Linked DNA regions of Rattus norvegicus. Each later gene encodes a partner of the first gene's protein in a complex. Each region holds a gene or a part of one and is shown on either strand. Other genes may lie near its edges. A codon is read from its position in the direction of its gene.

Region 1 (3,812 bases):
CGGATTAGCACTGGTGAAGATGAGAGACAAACTCTCTCACAGTTACCACACCGCTTGAATGGCCGTCAGAGTTAAAGCATAACCAGCGTGTGCTGGTTAGATGATTACTGAGGCTGGAGAGACAGTGCAGCAGTTAAGATGGCTCTCACAGCCCGTTCAGACTCCAGTGCCAGCCGGTGGCCCCTAACTCCAGCTCCAAGGTCTAATGCCCTCTTCTGGCCTCTGCAGGCACTGCACTCATGCAATGCCACCCCAGAATTTAAAATACAAGCATCTTTATAAAAAAATGTTTCTGCTCTATCCAATGAAGGAACACTGCAGCCATATGAGAGATGAGGTAGACTTCCCATCTTAAATAGTACATGAATATGCCACTTTCTTCTCCTTTTCATAAGTTATAACCAAACAAGAAGAGTAAAAGACAGCACTATAGATCCAGTGTCTAAGGCGAAGATACACTTAGCCCTAAGCTAAAACAACAGGGAAAAGATCCAAATGCGTGAAAACTGATCCAGGAACAGGGAAGCTTCAAGGACTCACTGAGGTGACACAACTCGAATTGAGCTCTGTGAATGGGCCCCACATGCTACAGAGCAGAATGGCCGGAGTAGGAGCTCCCTGGGCCTAGGGGGCATGGAGGAGGTGCAGAAAGATGGAGGAGAAACACAGTACGAGCAGGTGCTCCCTGTCTCCATGACACAGCATGGGTGCGGCAGGTAGAGGAAAGGATTCGCTACCAATGGCTTGCTGAAGAGAAACAGTAAAATAATTACACAACTGCGGGCCATAACAAATTCCACAAGTAACCGTGAAGAATTCCTGTTCCACTGCACCGGCCACAGCCAGTTCCACCCATCTCTCACAAAGCTGAGTAATGGTCCGAGATACTTAAATAAAAACAATGTAGAAGGAAGTACGGTGATGGCAAAAGTGCCTGCCAAGGACCAGACGAAAAGTGTGGCCCAGTGAACTACCTGGAAGAAAACCAAAACCAGTATGGAAATGTAGGCTTCATTAGAGGCAACACTAGGAACAGACACTACACATTGTGTGTACACATGAGAGTCTACATAAAAGACAGGACAGGAGATGGCAGACCTGGAAAACAGAAGGGCTCCAGTATGTCTATGGAGGAAAAGGTTGCAGATACAACCTCAAATCTCTCAAAATAAAAAAACAAATTCACAGACTGACAGGGTTCATGGCTTAGGAAGGAGTATTCAAGCTATCAACGCTGCCACAGATCCTATGAAAGCTATGAGACTTCAAATTTAAAGAGAAATTCCTTGGACCAAGAAAAGTCACTTCTAAAAGGGGGAAAATCATTCTCAGATTTTGCTCCCAATATTTACTGCTTAAATAAATGTTCTCAGGCAAAATAATATTGATCTAAGAAGTTTGTACCCAGCCAAACCACCGTTAAGGTTTGAATAGACAGTCCTTTTACCTCAAAAATTAAACCTGTTTTTTCATGAACAAAGTAAGTATTACTATAGTAACCCATGAAGTCTATGAAAGTCAACATATAAAAACTACCAGGTTACAAAAAATTTTGGTCTAATCATTTTAGTTCAGAAATACAACTGTTAAAGTTTAAAGGCAACAGGGAAAAAAAAAACCCTGGAAAGTTATGAAGAAAGCAAGAGTTCAAGGAAAATGAAGATTTCTGTGAGTCTTTCTTGCAGAAACTTCCAAAAGACACATTTAATAAAACAAGAAATAACGAGAGAAACTAAACTAGCCACAGGGAACACTGGCTCCATTTAGGGAAGGCCAAAGTCTAAATAATATTGGCTCTCTAGTTCTAGAACAAAATAAAGAGTTAATAATTCCTAAAAATGGAGAAACAAAGGCCCTAAACACTGAGGCTGAAAGAGAAAAGACACAGTATAGCAAATTTCTTATCTTTCATATTCATATAGTATTCATATAGTACGATGCTAAAATACAGATGGATAATAAAATTAAGAAGGTAAACATATTGCTTTATGAGTGTTAAGAGACGTGGAAGTGTGACTGTAGCTCAGGAGTGCTTGCCTCGTATGTGCAAGGAAGGCCCTGGATGTGTTCAACAACAGTAGCAAAAGGGCAGGGGTGGGTGTGCAGGGTGGGTGAGTGTGTGCAGGGGAGGTGAGGGTGAGCAGGGGTGGTGAGGGTGTGTGTGGGGGGGGTGGGGAGGGTGAGCAGGGGGTCAGTGAGAGAGAGGAGGAGGTGAAGACGACCATCTGGGGCAGCTCACCAAACATCTTACGTTTGGGGCTGGAGGGATGGCTCAGAGGTTAAGAGCTTCTGCAGAGCACTTGAGTTCTGTCCACAGAACCGAGCCGGACAGCTCACAACTGCCTGTAATTCTAGCTCCAGAGGATCTGACATGCTCTCTGTCCTCCAAGGGCACACAGACGTGTGGCATGTGGATAAGATACACCACACACGGGGCTGGGGATTTAGCTTAGTGGTAGAGCGCTTACCTAGGAAGCGCAAGGCCCTGGGTTCGGTCCCCAGCTCCGAAAAAAAAGAACCAAAAAAAAAAGATACACCACACACCCACAGGCATACACACTCTTTTAAACAATTTTATGCTTATTTATTCGTAGATACACATAATAAATCAGATATTTCTTAAGATAGGAAAGTGATTATATGGGAGTCTTTTAAAGATGAAGTTCTTTGGGAAAGAAAATTTGGGTGCTAGTGTTAAAAGTTGAGAACAGGTGTTAAAGTCTTTTCGTCCAACTCCTAACTCACCAGTGTAAATGGAGGCCTCTCTTGCAGCCACAGGCATATTGGAGGTATTGGCTACCAGCGCTGTCCTCTTCATGATGGACTCTACTTTACCATCAACTTCCATAGTGAGCTAAGGGTGTAAAATCCATCAGTGAGCTCCAGTTTAAGTCCAACACGCTAACAATTTAGTTTCTCCCACTTAAACATTGTAACTTGTTTCTGTTTAGGACCACCCCCATCATGCCAACCTCTCTTTCCTGCTCCACAGGACTCTCTGACAAATGGGCAATTTCATTTGGACATTTCAAATGAACAAAGGAAATCCATTCTTTTACGAAAAAGGACATGCTACTACAGTAACCTAGACCACAGAGCCCATGTGAAGTCTCACATTTAAATGTTCAGTTTCTCACACTTTGTTTTTCAGACAGTGTCTCATGTAGTCCAGGCTAGCCCTGACCTATTGACCCTCTGGCTCAGCCTCCCAAGTACAGGAATTAGAGGCACATGCCACCATACCCAGTCAAAATATAATTTTTTTTCTTTTATCCGCCTTATTTTTCTCTTAAGTGAGCATAAAGAAGAGAAACTTCAAAGAATTCATTTTCCTTTTTTAAAATATACAGATTAATCAAAAATATAATTTAAAATTCTTTGAAAGCATCTTGACAACCGAAAGCACCATTCTTGGCCCATGGAGCATAAACTATTGTCAGTGACAGCTGACATGCAGATCTCCTCCAGACGGTTATGTGGAGTCTTCTGTAGACAGACCTCAGGGAAGTCCCGGAGAACTTCTGACATCTCATTCCCTCTTTCACCGCAGCCGACATAGATAATCACATCGCTGTTGGAGTACTTGGATAGAGACTGGGAAATCACAGTCTTCCCACAGCCAAAAGCACCTGGAATAGCAGTAGTTCCTCCCTGAACACACCTGAAGGGCAACAGAACAAAAATCAGAAGAAATGTTTATTATGCTGTTGGCTTGCTAATGTATGCTGCTAAACAAAGTAGGTAACTGATAGAAAAATACCTGTAAGGTAATTACTCTGAAACATTTCTATACACGCAGAACATACTGTCAT
Region 2 (4,291 bases), on another chromosome or scaffold:
GGGGGGTTTAAGAGCTTCAATGTGAACACAGTTAACGCTAAAGTTTTTCTTAATCTCAGGCTTTCAGCGCCCACTATAAGACTCTAGTTTTATTTTCAAAGTTGCCCAAACAGGGTAAATAATCGCCTCAGCAGCATGACTTCAATAGCTGATTTCCAATTCCAGGAATTCTTTCTTACAGAAATGCACAACTAGAACGGAAAAACAACGACCTTCAATGCTAATAGTTACGTTTCGGATTTTTTTTTTAAACTTAAATACGGTGGTTTATCCTATTGATTCTCTGACTAAAAGTTCAGTCTCCAAAGAGTCAGAAGTTTTGGTAGTATCCTAGAGCTGAAAAGAAGAAAAAAAAAATGCTCAAATTCTGAGGCCCGGTAAAAGCAAAGCGCCCAATAGTCCTGAACTAGGGGTGGGATGTCGGAGCGTTCTCCAGAGGCCTCCCCACCACAAGACATCTTTAGGGAGGCTGTAAAAATCTACTTGGCCCACGTTCCTTCACGGGGTTCCTCCGCCCGTACAGCCACGTTTCTGGTTCACAGGACCAGACACCGGTTGGCGAGAAGGCGCAGGAAATATCCAGCGGGCCGTGGCGACGTTGTCCAGATACTTCCCGCGCAAGAACGGGAAAGGGGGGGTGGGGTGATAGCCCGGGGCCTAGACCACTCCTATCACTGGACATAGCTACGGCGAATTCTTGGGGAAAGCAAGGTGCGGGGCCAATCACCTGAAGTGTATGTGTGAATCCCGAACTAGGGTCCCACGCCGGGCTCCTTAATGGCAACGATGAGACTCGGAACACCAACACCGGACGGCGAAGCTCCTCAGCGTGCGCTTCGCCCAACCCAGCGCGCATGCGGACCCACCTCTCACTGCGCAAGCGCCGACGGAAAAGGTCCTTCGTTACCACTAACCATAGAGTCTCAGTCCTCCTAATATGGGCGGTTTGAACCACAGGGCGAGCTGAAAAGTAACTTTCCTTGGTATTTATAGACTTTGCGGAGGGAGTTTGCTAGGCTTAAAGAAGAGGTAATGTTCTATTTCTTGCTCCAGGATGATTACTTTAAGTTTTACTCAATCAAGAGATGGCGCTGTGACGAAAGATGGAAAGCTGAGGAAGAGGAGGAGCGTGATCTTCTCCGGACCCATCACTCAGCACTCGCTGAGTGCGGGCCACTCGCCGGAGGGAGGGGCAGTGAAGAGACCCGGAATTCCGGGACTGTGCTCTCTTCCACATCCGGGCATTCCTAAAGGCCCGCCCTCTCCTCTGTCCTCTGGCAACAGGAAGCGGAAGTGGGAACCGGTTTCCTGGTTGCCTCTTAGCAACGCACGGGGTCAAGTGACACCGTCAGCTGACTCGGGTGAAGGAAGGCTCTGTGGTAACAGTTCTGGAGGTGTTGCGGTCCCGATTGTCCCACTGGGGACCCGAGCCGAGTCACCGTCAGAATGTCGGGCAAAGACCGGATTGAAATCTTCCCTTCGCGAATGTAAGTTAAAGAATAGAACAAGTGACACCACGTTCAGGCACATCTTCCCGGAGCGCATTCCTGCGCACTCTTGGCCACCAGCGGGGTTTCTTGTTTTCTGGGCCGACCTGAGCTTCCCCAGGGTCTTCCCCTGAGTTCCGATTGAGGCTTCTTTACAGCCCCCTTCACCTATTCCCCCTGAGAGAAGAGGCTGGAGAAAGTGTTTCCAGTCCAAAGGAAAAGGGGATCCCCTGCTGGCTCTTTTTGGAGGTCGATGTCTTTACTCATTCATTCCACACACCTTCTGAGCCATTCGCGGAGTTTACATAACCGAGCGGTCGCCATCTCTGCCTCACAGGGCTCATCAGTGCTGAGGGATGAGACGTAGAAGCTAAGATGGTCTGACCAAAGCTCTCAGACGGGGAAGTTAAGTGATGGGAAGCAAGTAGAAGGTCTCTAAGCCAAAGTGACATCGAATGTGTCATCCTCTCGAAGCTGTAGGTTTCAGTCTTGGATCCCATCACATGTTACCTGCTGTAGGAAGATATTCCTGCATTTCTGAGGTATTCCTACAGCCTTGTGATGACTGCTCTCTTCTACCCTAGCAATGTCACTCATGACACTGTCACACGGATATTTATTTGGGCTGTCTCCTGGAAGAAGGAGGCATCTTTTTAATGCATAAAAGGTCCACAGAAAATTGTTCCCTTTGCCTTGGGATGTGCTCAGTTGCAGGCTGCCTTTCTGCTTCGGCCTAACATCTTTGTTAGGAGAAATAACATTTGTAAATGAAAATTTGAAGTTTTCTCAAATACATATAATAACTCGTGGAAAGTAGAGATTATTCTTATTTATGTTGTCATCTTCAGTTGTCCCTGAAGAAGGAAATCAGATTTTACTCTGATATTTTGGGGACGGTTTAGGGTTTTGTGTATGTGCGCGAGCGTGTGTGTGTGTGTGTGTGTGTGTGTGTGTGTGTGTGTGTGCGTGCGCGCGCGCGTGCGCGTACGCATGATACTGTATTGTTTTCCTTATCCTATGTTTTTTTTTTCTCACAGATCTGACAACTCTTAGTTATATTTAAACCCCAGAGTGAATTTCTGTCTCTGCCAGGGTGTATGTAGTTCTGAATGAATGAAAGGATTTAATTATTTAAAAAAAAACAAACCCCTTTTACCTTTCTCCCCACTGACTTTGAAATGGCAGGTTATACTAACTGTACAAATGGGCTAGTTGTGGAAAAATACAATGCTTGTGAAACAGCTAAAGATCAGGACTAGCCGAGGGTGATCTGAAAACCCAGCATGTAATGATCCCATCCAAACTTCACTGAGACACCAGATTCCAGCATGGCTTCTGGAAACAAGGCTATGCTCCTAGGGTGGCCCAATTCTCCCCCGAGACCCTAAGTCTAACTATAATGCCACTGAGTAATATCTCAAAGGCAGAGCTCTGGCCTGTCATGCAAAAGGCTCTGGGTTGAATCCCCAGCACCTAAAAGTAAAAATAACCACGCCTGCCTCAAACAAACAAAGCTCAGAGCCGATAGGAGAATTAAATACTTGTTTTGGCTGACACCTGATCAGTAGATCCTAGACCTTTCTTTGAAAGAACATTTATTAAAAAGGGTTTTTAATTGACTATGGTTTATAGAATTCATAAGCATGTCAGGGATCTGAGAGGACCCTTTACAACCACAGTGGCCTCGCCAGGCTCTGCGTTCTCTGAGTCTGCTTGAGTGTTACTCATGCCCAGGCATGTCTGTGGGAGCCAGGACGGTGCTCACCTTTTTGCTTTGCTGTCAGTGGACTTACTTATAAATAATGTCTGGCCATATTTAATCACTATTCATAATGCTGATATGTTTATTTTTACTTTGCAACTTTTAATTTAAGACTACAAGGTGAAAAATGGACTTCTTTGGGCTCAGACAGGAGAAATGATAGGTTTGTGATCGTGAAAACAGTTATTTGAGAGCACTCAGCTTGCTAGTTGAGAGGAAGTCAGGGGTGCGAAGTAAATGTTTCCCCCAAAGCTTGACAGCAGGTTCTTTGTCATATAGTCAGATGTCTTTGATTCAGCAGGAGACAAAGTCACTGTTTTAGTTGAAGGTCAAACCTCTCGTTTCCTTTTTGTGTGTGTGTGTGTAGGGCTGAGAAGCTCTGAAACAGAAAAGAACAGGTTTAACAGCCATAGTCCAGATCACACAGTACTGATAGTGCTTTCTCCTTCATTCGCTTGGTGGTACTGTCCTGTGGAATGTTGCTTTTATTCATGTATCACCAGAGAAAATGAAACAAGCTTGGATGGAAGCAAAGGAGGTCCAAAGGGATGTGACTCTGATGATAGAGCACTTGGCCAGCATCCACAATACCCTGGCCTTCAGTCCCTCCTACTACAGAAATCTGGATGTGGTGGTACATACCTGAAGCATAGCAGGATCAGGGGTTCAGAGCCAGCCTGGAATACATAAGAACCCGTCTCAAGGGGAAAAGGCAGAAAAACTGGAGTTAATAGAAGTCAGGTAAACCTTGGTTCTTGTGAGTGTTGGGCAAGTCACCTCTAACCCATTATTATCTATCCCAGGCTGACCTTCAGCTTCCAGTCTTCTTGCCCGGGTCCCAAGTGTTGGGTTTACAGGTGTTCACCACTCCATATCCAGCTCCAGTCGCTCTTTAGTCTCAGTAGCTGGAAAGTTTGCATTCACAGAGGTATAGTCATCTAGAATGACCTTTAGTTTATCAGTCAGTTCAACCATAAGCTCCAGACTTGTAGGAATCTGCAGTGCTGGGATTAACCTTAATTTTATCTAACTTTCTTACCCC

The links.
Region 2: the proteins of Atp6v1a (region 1) and Atp6v1d are in contact, whole or in part, in a cryo-EM structure (PDB 9B8P), measured with the Rattus norvegicus proteins. Residues at the interface, in NP_001101788.1 of Rattus norvegicus: Ala366, Met368, Pro369, Ala370, Asp371, Ser372, Asp416, Ser418, Asp436, Lys438, Glu491, Gln494, Leu495, Val496; in NP_955418.1 of Rattus norvegicus: Lys4 (codon at 1,456), Asp5 (codon at 1,459), Arg6 (codon at 1,462), Arg167, Ala171, Val175, Ile176, Arg179, Tyr186, Glu190, Arg194, Glu197, Tyr200, Arg201, Lys204, Ile205, Lys208.

Annotation. Positions count from the first base shown.
Region 1 is NC_086029.1:70,098,316-70,102,127, reverse strand, and holds part of Atp6v1a (V-type proton ATPase catalytic subunit A), read right to left. Parts: intron 3,662-3,812; coding exon 3,499-3,661; intron 2,855-3,498; coding exon 2,746-2,854; intron 1-2,745. UniProt on the Homo sapiens protein: Catalytic subunit of the V1 complex of vacuolar(H+)-ATPase (V-ATPase), a multisubunit enzyme composed of a peripheral complex (V1) that hydrolyzes ATP and a membrane integral complex (V0) that translocates protons.
Region 2 is NC_086024.1:103,402,342-103,406,632, reverse strand, and holds the start of Atp6v1d (V-type proton ATPase subunit D), read left to right. Parts: upstream 1-1,286; 5' UTR 1,287-1,446; coding exon 1,447-1,487; intron 1,488-4,291. UniProt on the Homo sapiens protein: Subunit of the V1 complex of vacuolar(H+)-ATPase (V-ATPase), a multisubunit enzyme composed of a peripheral complex (V1) that hydrolyzes ATP and a membrane integral complex (V0) that translocates protons.